3 linked regions of the Sus scrofa genome follow. The protein of the gene in region 3 binds, or shares a complex with, the protein of the main gene of each other region. Links are inferred from orthologs where the notes say so. Each region holds a gene or a part of one and is shown on either strand. Other genes may lie near its edges. The genes, in order: TNNI2, TNNI3 and TNNC1.

Region 1 (6,716 bases), on a different chromosome or scaffold from region 3:
CCCGAGCCGCTGGGCGCGCTCAGCCTGCCGCTGGGCACCGTGGACCTGCAGCACGTCCTGGAGCTCTGGCACCCGCTGGGCCCACCCAGCGCCCCTGAGGTGAGATCGGATTGATCGCGGGCCTCAGCTGTGCCCCACCCGCTGTGCTGGGGAAGCTGAGGCCCCCTCCCTCCCGCAGCCCGAGCAGACGGGTGAACTGTGCGTCTCACTCCGGTACGTGCCCGGCTCCGGCCGGCTGACCGTGGTGGTGCTGGAGGCCCGAGGCCTGAGCCCGGGGCTGGCAGGTGAGAGCCAGGCCGGCCCCTCCACGGGGCCAGAGGGGAGCCTGGGCTCGGGCCTCAGACCCAGACCGCCCTCTGGTCTCCCTCGCTTTGCCCAGAGCCCTTCGTGAAGGTCCAGCTTGTGCTGAATCAGAGGAAGTGGAAGAAGAGGAAGACGTCGACCAGGAAAGGGACGGCCGCCCCTTACTTCAACAAGGCCTTTACCTTCCTCGTGCCCTTCAGCCAGATCCAGGTGGGCTGCCTGGAGGAGGGGGACAGTGGGCCCGGGCTCAGGGCCAACCTGACTTCTGTCCTTCTCCCCCCACCGCACCCTGCCTGCCTCTACCCAGAGCGTGGATCTGGTGCTGGCCGTCTGGGCCCGGGGCCCTCAGTTCCGGGCCGAGCCCGTGGGCAAGGTTCTGCTGGGCGCCCGGGCCTCTGGTCAGCCCTTACAGCACTGGGCGGACATGCTGGCCCACGCCCGGCGACCCATTGCCCAGTGGCACCGCCTGCGTCCGGCCAGGGAGGTGGACCGGGTCTTGGCCTTGCAGCCCCGCCTGCGCCTGCCCCTGCCAGGCTCCTGAAAGCAGTGTCCTCGAGGGTGCAGGCCGCCCCGGGCGCCACACAATAAACGCCTTCTCCCGCCTCTGCTGTGTGTCCTTCCTGAGCCCGAGGACACAGTAGGGTCAGGGGCTCCACCAACACGTCCCGGACCCCTCCAAGGACAAGGGGGGGGGTCTCCCCTCCAGACTCAGCCAGGCCCTGCGGCCTCTGACCAGTGCCTGACCCCGAGTGAGGGCGAAGGGGCCCCTTCGGGCCCAGTGGGGACGGCGCTGGGAGATGGGGAGCTCTCCCTGGCTGCGGGGGCTGGGGGCCCATGGGGTGGCCCCACGCGGACATGTTGGGCAACGGGGAGACATCTGGGGGCGGTGACAGTGTTGGAGGGGACCTCAGCCCCAAGGACCACCCCAGCCCCCTGCCAGGCCCCGAAAGCCTCGGGCTGAGGCCTCCCCTGCTCGAGCAGCAGGGGGCAGTAGATGCCTTCCGAAGCCGCCCCGGGCCTTTGGGGGCTCAGCCTGGCCCGGAAAGCGGCGCTAATCCCCGCACATCTGGCCGGCTCCTGCTCTCCCTGACCCTCCCCACGCTGAGAGGCCAGCGGGGCTGGGGCCGTGCGCCCCCGGCTCCGAGGGTGCCAGGCCCTGGTGGGGTCTCCATGCCTCCGCTGGGTGGGGGCCCGGGCCGGGGGCACAGGCCCGGGCCCCAGGCCCCTCGGGTCAGGGAGAGGTTCCCAGGTGGGTGGTGCCGAAGTCCGAAATCTGGGGGTTGAAAGACACATTCCAGGCCGTGCAGGGAACTGGCCTGCAGGCAGGGCGTTCCAGGCAAGGCAGCACGTCCCTCCGTCCCGGGGCCCCCAGCCTGCTCCCCAGCAAGAAGCAGGGACCACGCCCGCGGAGGGCGGCCCCCACCGCAGAGACCCTGGCTGCTGCCACAGGCACCAGAAGCTGCGTTTGGGGGTCCCGACTTGTCCCAGTCCAGCTTGGAGCTGGCCAAGCTAAAGAGGCCAGTGAGCACGGAGAGGGGCTGTTGTCCCCAGGGGGGCCCTGGGCCCTGGGGAAGCTGACCACGGCGGGGACCTGAGGCAGGGCAGGTGGGGCTGGGCTGCAGTGACCCCTCGGCTGACATGAGCTGCGCACTGTGGCCGGCGAGGCTGGCACACTGTCCTCAGGCCTCTCACAAGAACAAGGGCAGCATCTCGAAGTCGTCACTGAGCCCTAAATAGAGCCACCCAACCTCGGCCCCCCCACCTCCCGTCCCCAAGACTCCTTGGCCTGGACGGCAGCACGCGGACGCAGCTGGGCCGGGCAGGCAGCCTGGGCAGGTGGGCAGGTCCCTGTGCCCCCATTGGTCTGAAGAGGGCTCCATGCCCTTTCTGAGCGGGGGCCCAGCCTGGGGGAGGCCATTTATATCCCTCCCCTGGGCCCACCAGCCCAGCTTGCCGCTGCCGGCCTAACCTCAGCCCCAGTGCTGCTGCCCAGACGTGAGGTGAGGTGGCCCTGCCAGCCGACTCCAGGGACAGGCGCTGCTCAAGCAAGCTCACAGAAGGGCTTCCCAGGGCTGGGGGGCCAGAGGCGGGGGCTGCAGCCTCTCGGGGGGCTTCCACAGAGAGGGAGCGGGGGCGGAGGGGGGGCAAGAGAGAGAAGCATTGGAGGTGGGCCAGGGTGGCCAGGGGTCCTGGGCAGCACCCCGACGGCCAGGCCTCACCTCTGGGACATGGGAGGGGATCTTACGGGTCAAGGAACCCCAGGCCCAACTGGGGAGCCGTTTCTTGTGTGCACTGGGGCCAGAAGCTGAAGGAGCAGAGCTAAAAATAACTGGTGGCTTTGGCGGCCACCTGCGCTGGCCGGACCCACCCTCCCTTGGGGACAGCTGCAGCCCCCCCCAGGCCCGCCTGGGACATATTGGGAACACTTTCTCCTCTTACTCCCCCCCCCGCCGGGATTCCAAGACACAGCCCTCCAAGGAGGTGGGGGGCGGGGCTGCAGGGGGCGGGGTTCGTGTGAGGGCAGAACCCTCTGGACAGCTGGGGTCCAGGGAAGGCGGGGCAAGGGCCCTAACAGCCCTGACCTTTCTCTCCCACAGGCTCTAAGTCCAGGAGCTCAAGATGGGGGAGTAAGTGCAGCCCCCCAGCCCGGTGCCCTCGCCCCGCTCCGGCCCACACCCCTCCCCCGCCCCGCCCTCGCTGGGCAAGGGGCTCTGCATCCCCACCCTGGCCACTGCCCGCCCGCCCACCCCGTCCGTCACACAGCCCCACGGCATGGCCCTAACTTCTCTTCTCTCTCCTCCCCCCACCTGCCCTCCTGGGACAGTGAGGAGGTGAGTACCTGCCCTGGGGTGGGACTTCGAAGGGATGGCACACCCCCCACACATCAGGACAGGTTGGAGCTTCAAGGCAGCCCTCCCTTCCCCGTGAAAGGGCAACCCCCCCCCAGAGGAAGTGTCTGCTCCATGTGGTGGCGCGGCACAGGGGAAGTGCCGCCTGGCCCCGTCACCGGGAAGTGGCTTCTTCTTTCTGATGGCTGCATCCCCTCCCCCACCTCCTGGGCCCTGCCAGCACGTCCCCCCCCACCTGCCTCTGAGGCACAGCCACACCTACTCCACCTAACCTGAAGGGACATCCGGGCAGAGGGTCACTGTGCTGCACCATGTCCGGGCCCCAGCCTCCCCACCAGGCCCAGTGGACCCCGGACTGGGCGGCACGAGCCAGACAGGATGCAGGATGCTGGCAGCCCGGCCGGCCCTGACTCTGTCTCCTCTCCCCTGCCCTGCAGAAGCGCCACAGGGCCATCACGGCCCGCAGACAGCACCTGAAGGTGGGTGCGGGCCTGGGTGGGGGGCGCCCAGGGGGCCGAGGGCCTGCTGCCGCCCCTCACCAGCTGCCTCCCCGCCCAGAGCGTCATGCTCCAGATCGCGGCCACGGAGCTGGAGAAGGAGGTGGGCCGCCGGGAGTCGGAGAAGCAGAACTACCTGTCTGAGCACTGCCCCCCGCTGCACCTGCCCGGCTCCATGTCGGAGGTCCAGGTACCCAGGGAGGGCGGGCGGGGTCAGGGCGGAGGGAGGCCCAAGGGTGGGGCCGGCCCCCCGCCCACCCACGCCCCCCCCCCAGGAGCTCTGCAAACAGCTGCACGCCAAGATCGACGCGGCCGAGGAGGAGAAGTACGACATGGAGATCAAGGTCCAGAAAAGCACCAAGGAGGTGAGAGGTCGGGCGGGGGCGGGGGCGGGACGCGCCCCCCACGGGCCTGGCTTCCGAGCCTCCCCGCCCCTCGCCCACGTCCGCAGCTGGAGGACATGAACCAGAAGCTGTTCGACCTGAGAGGCAAGTTCAAGAGGCCCCCGCTGAGAAGGGTGCGGATGTCGGCCGATGCCATGCTCAAGGCGCTGCTGGGCTCCAAGCACAAAGTGTGCATGGACCTGCGGGCCAACCTGAAGCAGGTCAAGAAGGAGGACACGGAGAAGGTAGGCCAGGCTCGGGACCCGTCGGCAGGGACCCTCGCCCGGGGGCGGCAGTGGCAGGCGGTGGGGGGGGCGGGGGTGGGCTCGGCCCCCCGGAAGGGTCTAGGGAGCGGGCGCTGAGCCCTGTGCCCGCGCGCGCGGCAGGAGCGGGACCTGCGCGACGTGGGCGACTGGAGGAAGAACATCGAGGAGAAGTCGGGCATGGAGGGCCGCAAGAAGATGTTCGAGACGGAGTCCTAGGCCCCCGGGGGCCCCGCCGCCCGCGCTCCCGGCAGCCGCGCGCCCCCTGGAGGCCGCTCGGCCTCGTGGTCAATAAAGGCTTCCCATCCCCAGGACTGCTGCGTCTGGCCTGGTCCTCTCTGCCCGCGGGCCGTCTGCGGGGGGCCTCTGAGCCCTGAGTCGGCGCTGAGAAGCCGGGGTGGGCTTCGGGGCATTTCGGCTGGGCCCGAGGGCCGCGTCCAGGCCAGGGAACCCTCCTCCCCCACTCGCCCTCCCCGGGGGGGGGGGGCCTGCTTGGCGACATCGGGCAGACCCCACAGGCCAGACACAGGTGGCCCAGGTCCTGTCCGAGATGCTTCTCCAGACGACCATTTGTCCACTGTCGCTGTCATCGCAAAGGTCCCGGAGCCTGCCCTTGTGGCATAAGTCAAGGCAGGAGCCTATGTGGGCAGCCCCCCACCCCAGCCTTCCTCCCAGGCTGCTCCTCCCCAGACCCCAGCCTCCCGCAGGGCACATGGGGACCGTCCTGGGTCAGATGGCCCTCCCAGCAGCTGGAGCCCCCGACGCAGGCGTACGCTGGGCTGGGGCCTGCGCTCCTGCCAGAGACACCACAGGCCAACCGGCCCCAGGCTGGGCTCAGTGGGGGCGGCGGCGGGGGGGGCTCTTCTTTCTGCCCAGCCCTCGCCGACCTCACACACCAAGGGACGATGTGCCCGACAGGCCCAGACGTGACTGTCATGGCAAGGCCGCCGCCAGCCTCCTCCGTGAGGGATGATGCTCAGGTCCGGCGCTCAGGTCTTTGGTGGGGAGCCGGGATGCTGGGCGTGGCCGTAACGGAGTGGCCATCCAGCCTACCCTTGCCCTGTGGAGGTCCCATCGATTGGCGTGCCAGGGCTGGAGATGCGGCGGGCAGCTGCCTTCAGCCTTGAGCCTCAAGGGACAGGCGTCAGCCTGCCCGGCTGGCCTTCACAAGTACGGCTCCCCACCCCCGCTCCAGCCCAGGCACCGGGCTCAGGCCACCCTGCAGCTCGGGGCCCCCAGCCTGGTGCCTGGGCTGCCCTTCCCACTCCCGTAGGCGGGTGTAGGGCCCGGGTCATCCCTGTGGAGCTCCGAGCAGGCCGGGCGGGCTGTGGATTCAAGGGGTGGGTTTTGGCGCCCACAGTGCAGAGAGAAGGAAGCGGTACCCTCCTTGCACCTGGCAAAAGGGATGGGCAGCTGGGCTGGGGCCGTGCCCACCAGGAGAGGGGCCGTGAATCCATCCTGGGGGCCGGCTGTAGGGCTGGGCTCCCACAGCAGGACGCAACTGTGGGCAGGGAAACGCAAGGAAATGTCCAGCACAAACTCCCGACGGTGACCCCCCGGGTGCGGCGGCCAAGCAGGGGCAGAGGGGGCGGGAGCACCAAAGGGGAGGCAGGTTGGGGATGTTGTAATTCTTGGGGGGGGACAATGGGTTTACGGGTGCCCTTGTCACATTTTCCAGTGAATGAATGAAGAAAGAGAACCCTGCAAACCAACCAGGCCAGCACACATCCAAACAGCGCCACACCCCTCTGCCACTGTCCTGGTGGGCCACGCCGCTGCACTCAGCGGCAGGGAGGGCCGAACGGGGCAATCCCGGGCAACAAGCGTGTAGTGCAGCATCCAACGCCTGCATGCTGAGGGTGCTGCGTTCTCTAGAAAGATCTCTACAGGGCGGGGAATGGGCAAGGCCGGAAGGAACAAGAGCAGCCACTGCCACCTCCTGGGAGGGCGGGCAGTGGTGACAAGATTCAGGAGGCAGAGCCCCCAGGACTTGGTGCACAGGGAGACCCCGGCTTAGGCTGAGGGGGGAGGAGGGCGTGCGGCGCTTGGGGAGGAGACCGGAGCCGGTGCGGGGCTGGCCTTGCATAAGACTTGGGAGCGGGGGAACACGGCAGTTTCTAGGCACGGCAGGCTGGGTGCAGGGGTCTGGGCTGGAGATGGGGTCTGGGGGTCATCAGAAGCAAGGCGGCGTCCCTGACAGTGGGGGGAGGGGAAGACAGCAACTTCTGGCGGACCCCTGACGGCAGGGGGTGGGCAGCAAAGGTGCAGGGGACGTGGCCCACCCTGCTGCGGTGGCAGGCGAGCCTGGTGGGAGAGCACCTGCCTGGTGCGGGGTGAGTGTGGGCTCGGGCCCGCAGCCCCCTCCCTGCCGTGCCCCTGCGAGGTCAGGCAGCAAGGGGTGTGCCGCGGCCTGGGCCTTGG
Region 2 (6,730 bases), on a different chromosome or scaffold from region 3:
GATGGGGTCAGACGCTGGGATGGGACCGCAGGGCCAGGGTGGCAGGGAAGAGCCTTAGAGTACGCCACCCCTCCACTCCCTCACCCCAAAGCTTGCAGCTGGCATCCACACTGGCCTTAGGAAGGAGAGAGGGGCGGGGCCTGTTACATTTTGCGGGCGCACCACCAGAATGAGGGGCGGGGTCTGGGCGGCAGGGGGCGGGGCCTCGTGAACTCCAACCCCTGCACCTGCACCTTCAGCCGCGCACCTTGACCGGCTGCCCGTTGCTGGTCCGCAGGAGTGTCTCGTCGTCGGTTTCAATGCCAAAGGCCACGAAGGGCCCCGTGGCGATGTCCCCCCAGTACCCGCGCGCTGCTACGAGCTCTCCGTGCTGCGAAAGCAGAGAGAAATGAGATGGATGGGCGCCCCGGAAAGAAGGAGCAGCCAGGGCAGGAAGTGGCTCGGGAGACGCACTTGGCTCAGGAGACGACCGGACGCCAGGGTCCGGTTGGGCACGTGATAGGCGCTGGAGTCTCTGAGTTCAAAGGCGACGCCTGTGTCCCTCCAGCGCCGGAACTCACGAGTGTGGATGACTCGGGCCTGGAGTTGGGGGAAGCAAGAAAAGAGGCCTCAGGGAATCTGGGATACGGTTCCCAGCACTGAGGGCCTCCAGCACCCTCCTCCCTCAGACCCAGGATCCCAAGCCCCCTTCCTCAAGCTCCAGAACCACCTCCTCACCCGGGACTGAGGACCTGATCCCCCCGGGTCCCAGCCCTCACCCCGCGATCGTGCAGCTTCATGTGCAGGTCCCAGTCGCTGACACCGCGCCGGGCGTCGTACCGGGAGCCCAGGTAGTGGCGCAGCCTCGAGTCCCACAGGCGGCTCATGGGGAAGGCCTCAGGCCCCTTCTCCCCGCCCGCCCAGAAACGGAACACGGCCTCCAGGGCGTCGCGCTCGCGGAACTGCACGGCCAGGCACGCGTGGAGGGAGAACCAGGGAGAGGCGGCTGCAGGAAGAGTGGCTTCTCCTGCTGGACCCTCCCTTCCCTCCCAGAGCGTGGGAACGATTCTCCCTTTTCTCAGATGAAGAAACTGAGGCGCAGAGAGCGGAAGCTGCCCCCTGGTCCATGTCTCACAGTGGGAGCCAGGAAGCCGGGGTTCGGACTCCCGCGCCCTCAGCCTACTCCATCAGCCCAAACCCATTTGGATCGTCCATCTCCATTCTTCCCGTTGCCACCCGGATCCCCGGCGGTGATAGTCGGAGGCTGGGCGGAGGCACCTTGAGCGCGCCCAGGCTGAGCCAGGGTAGCTGCTCTTGCAGGCGATCGGGTTCCAGGACCAGGTGGGCCAGGCGGTCGGCCTGGGCGCGCACGAAGGCGGCCACCGGGGGGCGCAGCAGCGCGTTCCCCCACACCTCCAGGAAGGTCTCGCTCCTCTCTGCGGGGAGGGGGGAGAAACTAGTGGGAGGAATAGAGGGAACCTGGAAATGAGACCCCTGTGGATGATGCACATCCATTTTACAGTGATCTTAGGTTTTCGTAGTCAGGTAGTGAGCATAAGGGAGCCAGGCAAACTCCCCACCCATCCCAAGGGCCAGAAGAAGAAGAAATAACTTAGACCTATTCTTCCCACCTATTCCCTCCCCCCAGGTAACCCCAATTCTGATTTTCATATTTGTTTCCCTTGCCTTAAAAAAGAAAAAGTTATATACAGATGGAGATGGAGATGAAGATTTATGTGTATTAAGTGTTAGACTGTTCATTTTTTTCATTTTAGTTAAGAAACTTATGAGAGAACTATATACCTGTAGTTAGATCAGATCCAGATTAGATTAGTCCCAGTTGTTTAAGGACTTTTTAATTTACTTATTTGTTGTTTTTTCATCTTTTTGCCATTTCTAGGGCCACACATGGAGGTTCCCAGGCTAGGGGTCTTATCGGAGCTGTAGCCACCGGCCTACGCCAGAGCCACAGCAACGCGGGATGCGAGCCGCATCTGCGACCTACACCACAACTCACGGCAACACCGGATCCTTAACCCACTGAGCAAGGCCAGGGATCGAACCTGCCACCTCATGGTTCCTAGTCGGATTTGTTAACCACTGAGCCACGATGGGAACTCCTTAAGGACCTTTTCATAAGGTGTATTATGAAATCTGTGCAATGTCTTCCGAATGTTCTGGGCTATTAATGACACCTACCATCCATAATCATGAAAACAACAGTACTCACTAAAATGTATCGAGTCAGTATCATAAGCCAGGACATGTGCTTTTTTTTTCCCCATTGTATACTCATAAGAATTCTATGGGGGAAGATCTTTCATGACCTCCATTTTATAAATGTAGAAACTGAAGCCAAGAAAAGACCAGATACTAGCCCAAGGTCACAGAACAAGCAGAGTCAGAATTTGAACACGGCTTGTCTGAATCCTAGAGGTTTTGCTCTAGGCACTAAGCTGAAGTTGTTGTTACTGAGAGACAATCAATTTCCCAAATCCTCCTTCTCCCCCTTCTCCTTATAAGTTCACTTTCCAAGTCTGCCTCCTTCAGGCAGGCTGCCTGGGTTTCACCCTCAGCTCAGCCAACCCCCGCCCCCTACTTCTGGAGGCCTCACCACCTCTCAGAAAGTCCCTTGATCTCTTTTGGGCTTCTCCCTTCGTGGAAGGCTCTGCATGCTTACACTGTGTCATGCATAGTTCTGAAAGTTGTATGTGGGTTTTCTTCTAGAATTCTCTAGATGATTCTAGAAAGTATTTTTAGGCCTACTTCACAAGTGGGAAAGACTGAGGCTCTAAGGCCAACAAACAAGTGAGCAAGTGATGAAATAGGGATCAATACTCATTCAAAATGAGTACCCTTGATTTTTTGTTTGTTTTATTTTTGTCTTTTTGCTTTTTCTAGGGCTGCTCCCGCAGCATATGGAGGTTCCCAGGCGAGGGGTCTAATTGGAGCTGTAGTCACCCGCCTATGCCAGAGCCACAGCAAAGCGGGATCCAAGCTGCATCTGCAACCTACACCACAGCTCACAGCAATGCCAGATCCTTAATGCACTGAGCAAGGCCAGGGATGGAAACCACAACTTCATGGTTCCTAGTTGGATTCATTAACCACTGAGCCACGACAGGAACTCCTGAGTATCCTTGAAATGCCAGAATTCCTACAGGGAAGGGGAAGAGGCTGGGGGCCAGACTGCCTGGGTCTTTGCCACTGACCTTGCAGCCCCATCTTCTCTGGATCCTCCAAGGCTATACTGAAGATCAGCATGTGTCGGGCTACAGCTTCTAGATTATTTTCCAGAACATAAAACTGGAAGTATGGAGAGGGAAGGATGATTCTGAGATGTGTCCTTGGCTCCCAGGAGACTCAGGAGTGAGCAAACTTAGAACCAAGGAGACCTGTACATCAGCCCCCCTTCTTCAACACGAGCGTGCGCACTCAGAACTCTCCTCCCCATCACTACTCAGGCTCTTCCTCCCACTCGGACCCAGGAGTCCCCAGACCCAGCCCACTCTTTCCCCAGGACTCAGGAGTCTGGGTTCCCAGCTTCAGGGACTCAGGAATCTGGGTTCTCATATTCATCCTCCTCCTTTCACGACCCCTAATCCCAGCTCACGTGGAATCTCCTTCGAGGCCAGAGCGCAGCTCGGGCCAAAGTCCGCAGCAGATGCCGCCCATCCACGGAGCCCACCAGCAGGACATTTAGCTCGGGTATCCCGTGCTCTGGATCGTCTGGGTCCACAGGACCTGACAAAAAGACAGAGGGTTGGGGTCGGTGGCCTGAAGAGCGCCCATGGCAGCCTCGCTCAGCACGATGGACTACACCTCCCAGGAGAACTTGCACTCCTGGCCTAGGTTTCAAAGGGAGCTGTGCCTCTAAGCATTCTGGGACTGGTAGTCTGCAGCGGCATCAAGGCTGTCCGCTCGGGGGCGCCCCCACCCTTGGAGCCTCAAAGAAGGTTAGCGCGCTGTCTGCCAGCTCTGAAGGCAGCGCTGTGTTGGATTTGTGATCCTGCGTGGGACTCACTCTCAGCCTGCAGGTCCACCGCCGGGGACAGGCCCCACCAGGACACGGAGCCGAAGCCTGAGCCCGAGCCTGCCGGTGTGGTCATCGCCCTGCACGACAGACAACCTGGGAATCCCCAAACATCGTGTCTGCGGCCTCCACCCATTCGCCTTTCACGTCCCCTGATTTCTCGCCTCTTTCCTCCATGGGACGGCCCCCCTCACCTTTATCCTTCCAAATAACTGGACACACCCGCTCTCTGCCCACTCCGAGATGCAGTCCGACGCTCTCTCCGCAACTGCTGCCCAGAGTCTCCGCCCTTTTCAATCAGTAAGCCAATGGGAGTGTGCGGGCTGGCACCACTGTGATCCACTGACCAATGAGAGCGAGCGAGACCTGTCCTCTATGAACTTTTGACCAATGCGAGCGTTGAGGGACGACGACTCTGGCTTGTGGGAGTGGTGGGCAAGCGGACGCGGTTGTCATGACGACGGCGTGGGCGAAGGGGCGGGGCCGGAAGACACGGGGCGGAGCCTGGGGCGGTCCAAATTTCTGGAACGGGGAGGAAGAACGGAACAGAATCTTGATAAACCCAAATTAAAGTGAGATGGCCTACACCTTAAATTATAGACCTCTGGAGTTCCCGTCGTGGCTCAGTGGTTAATGAATCCGACTAGGAACCATGAGGATGCGGGTTCAGTCCCTGGCCTTGCTCAGTAGGTTAAGGATCCCGCGTGGCCGTGAGCTGTGGTGTAGGTCGCAGATGCGGCTTGGATCCCGCGTTGCTGTGGCTCTGGCGTAGGCCAGCGGCTGCAGCTCTGATTCGATCCCTAGCCTGGGAACCTCCATATGCCGCATGAACGGCCGTAGAAAAGGCAAAAAGACAAAAAAAAAAAGTATATATATATATTATATATATATAATACATATATATATATAATATATATATTATATATATAGACATCTGTGTCATTTTCCCTCACACCTGGGCTCTACCACATAGGGCTTCTCACCACATGGGAAAGTTCTAGGGCCAGCTACCACTGGCACCTGATTGTTAAATTTTCAAGAATTTTGTGACCCGGTTGTTACACAAAATCATTACTAAAAATTAAACGTTTTACTAAACTTTATTAAAAATCAAATTCCGGGAGTTCCCATCGTGGTGCAGCGGAAACGAATCCGACTAGGAACCATGAAGTTGCGGGTTTGATTCCTGGCCTTGCTCAGTGAGTTAAGGATCCGGCATTGCCGTAAGCTGTGGTGTAGGCCAGCAGCTATAGCTCCGATTAGACTCCTAGCATGGGAACCTCCATATGCCATGAGTGCAGCTCTAAAAAGCAAAAAAAAAAAAAAAAAAAAAAAAATCAAATTCCAATTAAACACATTACATTAAAATAAATGTAATCAGGAGTCCCCTAGTGGCCCAACAGGTTAAGGATCCAACGTTGTCACTGATGTGGCATGGGTCACTGTTGTGACATGGGCTCAATACCTGGCCTGGTAACTTCCAGATGCCGGCAAGTGCGGCCAAAAAAAGCAAATAAATAAGGGAGTTCTCCTCCTGATGCAGTGGTTAATGAGGCCAACTAGGAACCATGAAGTTGCTGGTTCAATCCCTGGCCTCGATCAGTGGGTTAAGATCCGGCATTGCCATGAGCTGCGGTGTAGGTCGCAGACTCGGTTCAGATCTGGCGGGGCTGTGGCTGTGGCTGTGGCGTAGGCTTGGCTCTGATTAGACCCCTAGCCTGGGAACCTGCATATGCTGCAGGTGCGGCCCTAGAAAAGGCTAAATAAATAAATAAATACGGTAAAGAAAAGGTAATCATACTCAAAACTCATCAGTTTCTATTTTATTATATTTTACTATTATTAGCGGTCTCAAGGTTATTTCCAACTATTGTATCTGTAGGAAGGAAATGCTATTTTAATGCAATGTTGTTTTTGTTTGTTTAGGGCCGCACCTGCAGCATATGGAAGTTCCCAGGCTAGGGTTCAAATTGGAGCTGTAGTTGCTGGCCTCCACCACAGTCACAGCAACACCAGACAGAGCCTCTGGGCAGGTCCAGGTCCTTAACCTACTGAGTGAGGCCCAGGATCGAATCCATGCCCTCATGGCTACTAGTGGGGTTCATAACGCACTGAGCCACAAAGGGAATTCTTGTACTTCATTGCTTTTTTACGACTGAATAATATTCTGTTATTTCCCCCTCATTTTTGCAAGTCTCATGCCTTCTTGCCATTCAAATCACAGCCCCTAAACACTACTTTTTCTTTTTTCTTTTTTTTTTTTGGCTTTTTAGGTCCGCAGGGCATGTGGAGGTTTCCAGACTGGGGTCAAATTGGAGCTGTAGCCACCAGCCTAGGCCACAGCCACAGCAACGCCAGATCTCAGCTACATCTGCAACCTACACCACAGCTCACGGCAATGCCAGATCCTTAACCCACTGAGCGAGGCCAGGGATCGAACCTGCGTCCTCTAGGATGCTAGTCAGATTCATTTCCACTGAGCCGTGACGGGAACTCCCCAAACACTACCTCTTCAGGGAAGCTGTCCCTGACTACCCTTTTAAAATGGTCTGGGGAGTTGCTGTGTGCTCTAGCTCTTAGGACTTGGCACTTCCATCGCTGTGGCCCAGGTTCCTGGTGTGGCCACTGAGATCCCACAGCAGCCATTGCACACCACAGCCACAGCCCAAATAAATAAAAATTTTAAAACAGGATCTCACCTCAGCCCTTACTGGTTTC
Region 3 (6,607 bases):
TGGGTGTATATGTAGGTCCTTGAGTTTTCCAGCTCCTGAAGCCAGGATTTAGGGGACCCCTGGTCTCTCTAGGCATCAGGCAGCTACTGCCAGCTCTGACCTCCACTGGAGGCATCTCCAGAATTCCAAGACCGTCTCTGGAATGTTGGGCCTGTCTGGGGAATGCCAAGGCTGGGGCACAGGTGCAGAGGCTGTGGAGTGACTGGGTGGAGCAGGGACAGCTGCTGACATTCTGGCTGCAGCCTAGGCACAGTGGCAGCTGTCCCTCTTGCAAGCACCACTGCTGACACCTCCACTTCCTTGCATTCCTCTACCTCCCCAAGGCCAGTTTCACTATTCTGTCCATAGTTCTGGCCTGGGTACCCCCACTAGGCTGAGAGCCACCAGGCCCTCTGCATCTATTCCCTGTCAGGGAGGAATTGTGGGCTGCTGGAGCTGATGAAGTTCATGGTAACTAGAAATCATGCCCATCTGGACCTGGTCCATCAGACAGAGTCCTCGGCTGGGGAGCCAGGTGGCTCTGCTCTTCCCAGCCTCACTGCATGACCTTGACAGGCCCGGAGCCTCTCTGGGCCCCACCTGTCAAATGGCCAAGGGGAGGCAGAGTAGAAGATATGCCCCTCGGTCCCTTAAGCCAATGCCGCCAGCAGGAAATCCAAGTGGGTGGGCAGATGGCCTGGAGCTGCAGGCCAGCTGAGCCCCCATGTGGTCTGCTTCTCCCCAACCAGAACCAAGGAAGGGCTGGGGCTGCTGTGCTGCAGTGACTTCTGTCTCCAAGTAGTGGATCCCTGCCTGCCAACTGGCTGACCAAAACTATGGCCCTGACGGGGCCTGTGAAATGCAGATTCCTGGGCCATCACAGCCTTCAGATGTGGAATTGCTGGAGGTGGGGCTGGGGCACCAGCAGTTATAGAAAAGAGACAGTGGGGCACGGAATGTTGTAGTCTCTGATCTAATCCAGCCCCTCCTGCAGAAGGCAGTGTGCAAGGGTGGTTAGGGTCTGGGACGGGGAAGGAAACTGCTGCGGCAGGAGTAGACCCTGGGGAAGAGTCATGAATGGAAGCCAGGCACCAGGCTCCAAGGAGCAGGGCTTTATTTGCATTCTCTAGGACAGGGCTGGGTAAGGTAGTCAGGGAGGGCCTGTGGTCAAGCACATACCCAAATTCATATCCTGGGGACTCTGGCTCCCTGCCCCCAACCCCGGGGCTGGGCTGGAGTTGGAAGGTGGTACAGGCAGCTCTGAACGAAGGTCGGTGTTTACTCCACCCCCTTCATGAACTCCAGGAATTCTGTGGAGAGAGGGGCGAGCATAGGTCAGAGGTGGATCGGTGCTGGCCTCTTGGCAGCAGGGATTCAGTGCACCCCCACTCACCGTCATAGTCAATGCGGCCATCATTGTTCTTGTCACCATCTTTCATGAGCTCCTCGATGTCATCCTCTGTGATGGTCTCGCCTGTCGCCTGAAGCATTATCTTCAGCTCCTCCAGGTCGATATAGCCATCAGCGTTTCTGCCAATGGGTGAGGGGAGCCTCAGAGCCCGTGATGGGGGCACAGAGAGGGGAAGAGGCAGCCCTGCTCATGACCCCGGGAGGCAGGGGAGGGCCACTGGGAGGTGGCGCATCCCATTCCCTCACTGTACAGAATGGGAGACTGAGGCCTTGAGGTCACAAGACTGTCCCCCTCTCCCCAGCTCTGCTAGGGTTAGGGTCAGAGGTCAAGGGTCATACACTCACTTGTCAAACATGCGGAAGAGGTCAGAAAGCTCCTCCTCAGACTTTCCTTTGCTGTCATCCTTCATGCACCGAACCATCATGACCAAGAACTCATCGAAGTCCACTGTGCCACTCCCTGGAGGGAGGGGTGTGGCACAGCCATTAGAGAAGGATGGTCAGAATGGCTGGCACTGCCCTTGACACTAGACCCCAGTGCTCTCACTGCATCCTCACACTAACTCTGTGAGGCCTGTGTGGTCCTTGGGCCCATTTTATACATGAGACGGCTGAGGTTCAGAGAGGCTAAAGAGCTCCTTTAAGGACACAGAGTAATAAGTAGCAATCCAGGATTCAGGGTCCCAGTGAGCTGGGAGTGCTATGGGTTTGGGGCTGGGTGGGGAGGGGAGGGGGCTCACCGTCTTCATCCACCTCGTCAATCATCTCCTGCAGTTCCTCAGGTGTGGGGTTCTGGCCCAGCATCCTCATCACTTTGCCCAGCTCCTTGGTGCTAATGCAGCCATCCTCGGCGCCCAGCACGAAGATGTCAAAGGCTGCCTTGAACTCTGTCCAGTAGGGGAAGAGGAGAAACAGAGCGGCCAGGGCTCAACAGCCAGAAACCTGGAAGGTCAGACCTCTAGTTCCACCTGTTAACCTACCCACTTCCCTCTGACATCTGAAGTCAGAGGGAGAGGGACTCTGGCCTCTGGCCTCCAGCCTGGGGTCCTCCTACTCCCCCAGCCCAGCCCTGCTGTTCCCCTACATGCGTGTTTGAGCACTCACCATTTTTCTGCTCTTCTGTCAGCTGCTCTACCTAGAGAGGAAAAGAGGTCTCAGGACTCAGGCTCAGGCCTTCGCTGCTGTGGAGGAAATCAACCCATTCCATAGCTGGGAAGACTAAAGCCAGGAAGAGGTAGGCCATTCCCAGGTCACAGAGCAGAAGAGGCCTCAGTTCTCCCTCCCTGCCCCCCAAAGCCCTGAGGTGACCTGGCTAGCCTCACTGAGACTGGGCTCAGGGCCAGGGTGACAGGTGGGAACCCCTTCCACGACCAAGGTGACCCTGAGTAACAATAGTCATCGCCCTCCCCACCCCACCCCCAACCCCCGGCTGAAACCCAAGCTGGGTGGCCCAAGAGACAGCTGTCCCTCAGGTTGGGACAATAAAACCAAAGTGGGGCTAGGCAAAGCCACCCACTGTAACCTGACCGGGGTGGCCACTGGGCTATTTTTAACGGGGGACAAAGTTAAACCTGGTGATTGTTCTGGGGACTCTGGCATGCAGGGGGTGGGGCAGCGTTATCTAGCCCCCTGGCCTGCTGGAGCCTCAGGAGCCAAAATTAGTTCCCAGCCCCGCCAGGCCTTGTATGGGCATGGGGCGGAGGACTGCCCCCCCAGCTCCATGGACTCCTGCAGGATAGGCAGAGGCACCCCCTTCCTTTCCCCGGGCTGAGGGAGGGGTTCCCCTGGGAGCAGCTGTCCATGTCAGATGTCCTTGTCTCTACGGTGGGAGGAGGTCAGTAACACACCCCCCTGCTGGCATGGAATCACATCTGAAGCCCCTCAGTGGGCCCTGCAGGGACCTGAAGTGACCACCCTCCAGCCCTTACCCCTGGCTAAGCCACTGATCCGGAGCCTGCCGAGCTGGATGCGGGCTGGGGCCTCAGCTCTCTGTTCCTTCTTCCCAGCTCCCCACCCCCATGCCCAGTCCCTCCCTGCCTGCCTTAAACTTCAGAGCCCCTTCTCCAGCTCAGGATTCCAGCTCTCCAGCCCCCTCCTCACAACCCCTATCCCACTCTCCACAGCATCTGCAGCCAGCCAAGGGGCTGGAGGGGGTGGGGGATTGTGGACATGTGAGAAGCAGAATATGAGGGGCAGCAGTGGGGGAGGTGGGGACAGGGAAACAGCAACAGAGCCTCAGAGGGAGAGCTTGGAAGGAACAAAGAGATGGAAAGAGACTAGAAACAGCAAAAGTCCAGAGACCAGTGACGTAGACTAGAGACATTTGGAGACAGGGGCAGACATGATGCCAAAGCTGCGACATCTTCCTCCACCCACCCTGACAGCTACCCACAGACCCTAAACTCCTCACCCCTTCCACACCCTGGAATGCCAGCCCCACCAGCCCCTGAGGGCCTGGGTTGAAAGTACGTGGTCCCTCTCCTGGATTCCCACCATCTCCTTCAGGTGACCTTGCCCCCATCATGAGCTGAATGAGCCCCCTGTGGGCCCGCCACCCCAGCCCTGCCCAGGCCCATCCCTCACCGCAGCCTTGTAGATGTCATCCATACTGGCGGCTCACAGGGCAGGCTGCTGAGGTTGCCAGCAGCGGCCCTCGGCTTAAATAGCCCTGCCCCGCCACATTCCCGGCCCAGCCCACCCCTGCCTGCCGTATCCTCCACTCCCTCCCCTGGACCTGGTGATCTCACACTGGCCTGAGTCCCTGTGTCCTCCGCCCAGGGCAAGGAGAAGATGAAGGGCTATAAGGACCAGGTCTCTCTCCCTCTGTCCTCCATCTCCCCAGGGACTCTCCAGAAAAGTTTTTTGAAAAAATGAAAACATAAGCCCAGGACAGACGGGAGCTGTGTACAGGGGCCTCGCCTGGGGCCCACTATACTGCAGCTCCTGTCTGCCCCGGAGGTGAGGCCCCTATACACAGCAGCTCAACCCCTATCCAATCAAGGGAATAGGTGAGGCTCCTGGAAGGACTTGCTTGAGGTCTGGCTGACGTGGCAGCTCCTAACTTAGGTTAAACCTCTCTGGAGCAGGGGCAACACTATGTAAGGAGAGGGTGGGAGAGCAGAACCCTCAGAGAAGCCTCGAATGCCAAGTTCAGAGTACGGTGCTGTGGTACTAGTGGAGAAGGAAGGCACTGACCTACCTCAGGAGAGTATGGGCTGGAGCCTTTCTGCCAAGGGTGCCAGAGAAGCCCTGCCTGAGACCTCTCATCTCCCCAGGGAGAGAAGTACTAGCTCTGGGCTTGACTGCATTCAATCAATCATTCAACAAACTCACCCTCACAGATGCCCCATCTGTGTAAGACTGTTCCCCTGAAGTTGGTTTACCACCTCTCTCTTCTAGATCTGGGTCTTCCCCTGGGTTAAGGCTCCTTCTCTGCCTGTGCTCCAGTACTGCAGTTCCTGGGTCCAGAGCCAATCTATCGCCCCCTCATTTTGAGCTCTAGTAGAACACCAGCGGGGGTCTTGTGCCAGATGGCCAGCACATAGCCATTGCTTCCACCTAACTCAACACCTTCTCGCAGAACTCACACCAGCTCCCTGCCTTGCCTGCCAGGCGTTTGCGTGGACTAGCCCACTCAGTTCTCTGGAAGCCCATGTGACATAGATCTGAGTCTTGGAGAGGTTAAGAACTGACACAATTATTCTGTCCTGCTTGCATTCTAAGCCCCAATTTTTCTTCTCCTTTAGCCTTCTTGTGCTCAACTGGGAATGAGCCCAAGAGGAAGGTGAGAGGTAACCACTGCCTCTTTTCTGGAGAAGGAAACTGAGACCAAGCGAAGCAGTGACTCGCTTCAGGTACGCCGGAAGGTGCGGGGCCATTGGTCCTTCCTTCCTGGGCACTGACTGGCAATTCCCAGAGCAGTTCCCGCCCGGAGCCTCAGTTTCTCCCCCGCTGCTAGGAGCGCGGCGGGCGGGGCCAGGCAGGTACAGATTACGCAAGTGGACCTTCCCGGGCAGCCTGCGCACGCGCGCCATTGGCAGCTGCTGTCAATTACGCGCGAGGGGCGGAGCTGGGCGGGGCGCGAGGAGGCGGCCGGTCCAAGATGGCTGCTTGGTGAGCAGCGTGGGGCGGGGGGCGGGGGCCGTCGGGGGGCGGTGGGACGCTGACCCCGCCCCCTGCTGCTGCCAGTCTGCTCCGGGCGGCGGCGGCGACCGAGCCCGGAACATGGCGGCCGCGGCGCGCAGCTTCGGGCCCGAACCGGAGGCCGAGCCGGCCAAGGAGGCTCGCGTCGTGGGCTCTGAGCTCGTGGACACGTATACGGTGTGCCGAGGGCCCCGGTGCCTGAACTAGGGGTGGCGGCTGGAACCCGATTTCAGAGTTGGGAGGTTGGGGAGGGAATCTGGGCCCAGCATCTGAAGAGGAGGAGGTGGGGGACTGCGATTTTGAAGTGGGGACCTGGAATAGCGGAATCTGGGGAAGGACCCTGGGCCCTGCAGGTAGGGAAAGAGGGTCCTGGGGTGGGGCCCAGGGAGGGGGCCTGGGAAGTGTACGCGTTTAGAAAAGCAGGATAGGGTTGGGGAAAGATTAGAGGATAAAGGGGGTCTGCGGAAGACAGGAGTCGGGTTGAGGCGGCGGTCCCTCTAGATCTTCTAGGCCTTGAGAGGCGCCGGCCTGGGAGGACGTGACAAGGGGTCTGGAAGGAGGGGAATTAGGGAAAGGGTCTCTGATGGATGAAATCTGCAGAAAGGGTCAGGGCCCTGCGGGCGGGGGCGGAGGAGACGGGGCCTTGACGTGGGAGGCCTGAGGTTGCAGTTGAGATTTGCTCTAAAAGTGAAGGGGGGCTCAGGTTCCTTGGGGCTCTGGCAGAAACAAGAATGGGGTAAGGGTGGAGCCTAGACACCGGCAATTGAAGGGGTGGCTCAGGGCTGAAAGCTTAAAACCGGGGAACCTTAGGGATCTTCATGGCTTTGGATTATGGGGGTGAGTTGGTGCTGTAAACTGCCCACGCACACTTCAGAGCTACGGGGGTGATGGAGGACAGCAAAGGGGGCAGGTTCCAGACTGTGATGAGTTGGAGGCCCTCCTGGGTCTGGATGGGATTGGGCACCTGGCCTACAGGCCAGGTTGGCTGCCTGGCAGGGACTGAGCATCTGAGCACCTCCCAGACTCCTGTCTTTTGTTCCTGGAAGGTGGGAAGTATGTGGGGGGCTTTGGCCCT

What was found.
Region 1: the proteins of TNNC1 (region 3) and TNNI2 are in contact, whole or in part, in an NMR structure (PDB 2MKP), measured with the Homo sapiens proteins. The link is inferred for Sus scrofa from reciprocal best matches to the Homo sapiens genes TNNC1 and TNNI2. Residues at the interface, in NP_003271.1 of Homo sapiens: Asn18, Glu19, Phe20, Ala22, Ala23, Ile26, Val44, Met45, Met47, Leu48, Gln50, Pro52, Glu56, Phe77, Met80, Met81, Cys84, Met85, Lys86, Asp87; in NP_001139301.1 of Homo sapiens: Arg116, Met117, Ser118, Ala119, Asp120, Ala121, Met122, Leu123, Ala125, Leu126, Leu127, Lys130, His131, Lys132.
Region 2: the proteins of TNNC1 (region 3) and TNNI3 are in contact, whole or in part, in a crystal structure (PDB 4Y99), measured with the Homo sapiens proteins. The link is inferred for Sus scrofa from reciprocal best matches to the Homo sapiens genes TNNC1 and TNNI3. Residues at the interface, in NP_003271.1 of Homo sapiens: Asp3, Ile4, Lys6, Ala7, Glu10, Gln11, Thr13, Glu15, Gln16, Glu19, Phe20, Ala22, Ala23, Ile26, Phe27, Val44, Met45, Leu48, Gln50, Glu59, Met60, Glu63, Glu66, Asp67, Gly68, Asp73, Asp75, Glu76, Phe77, Met81; in NP_000354.4 of Homo sapiens: Glu32, Pro33, His34, Ala35, Lys36, Lys37, Lys38, Ser39, Lys40, Ile41, Ser42, Ala43, Ser44, Arg45, Lys46, Leu47, Gln48, Leu49, Lys50, Thr51, Leu52, Leu53, Leu54, Ile56, Ala57, Lys58, Glu60, Leu61, Glu64, Arg136.

The regions. Positions count from the first base shown.
Region 1 is NC_010444.4:1,249,286-1,256,001, forward strand, and holds TNNI2 (troponin I, fast skeletal muscle), read left to right. Parts: upstream 1-2,280; 5' UTR 2,281-2,303; intron 2,304-2,900; 5' UTR 2,901-2,922; coding exon 2,923-2,930; intron 2,931-3,127; coding exon 3,128-3,134; intron 3,135-3,589; coding exon 3,590-3,631; intron 3,632-3,710; coding exon 3,711-3,839; intron 3,840-3,924; coding exon 3,925-4,014; intron 4,015-4,100; coding exon 4,101-4,277; intron 4,278-4,418; coding exon 4,419-4,514; 3' UTR 4,515-4,598; downstream 4,599-6,716. UniProt on the Homo sapiens protein: Troponin I is the inhibitory subunit of troponin, the thin filament regulatory complex which confers calcium-sensitivity to striated muscle actomyosin ATPase activity.
Region 2 is NC_010448.4:59,373,201-59,379,930, forward strand, and holds the start of TNNI3 (troponin I, cardiac muscle), read right to left. Parts: upstream 4,284-6,730; 5' UTR 4,207-4,283; intron 4,093-4,206; 5' UTR 4,004-4,092; intron 3,724-4,003; 5' UTR 3,593-3,723; intron 3,286-3,592; 5' UTR 3,192-3,285; intron 1,416-3,191; 5' UTR 759-1,415; intron 580-758; 5' UTR 454-579; intron 371-453; 5' UTR 248-370; intron 1-247. UniProt on the Homo sapiens protein: Troponin I is the inhibitory subunit of troponin, the thin filament regulatory complex which confers calcium-sensitivity to striated muscle actomyosin ATPase activity.
Region 3 is NC_010455.5:34,590,316-34,596,922, forward strand, and holds TNNC1 (troponin C, slow skeletal and cardiac muscles), read right to left. Parts: upstream 4,006-6,607; 5' UTR 3,997-4,005; coding exon 3,973-3,996; intron 2,525-3,972; coding exon 2,494-2,524; intron 2,277-2,493; coding exon 2,130-2,276; intron 1,850-2,129; coding exon 1,735-1,849; intron 1,510-1,734; coding exon 1,373-1,509; intron 1,290-1,372; coding exon 1,258-1,289; 3' UTR 1,256-1,257; downstream 1-1,255. Other genes in the region: NISCH (nischarin), read left to right, coding at 5,614-5,709. UniProt on the Homo sapiens protein: Troponin is the central regulatory protein of striated muscle contraction. Tn consists of three components: Tn-I which is the inhibitor of actomyosin ATPase, Tn-T which contains the binding site for tropomyosin and Tn-C.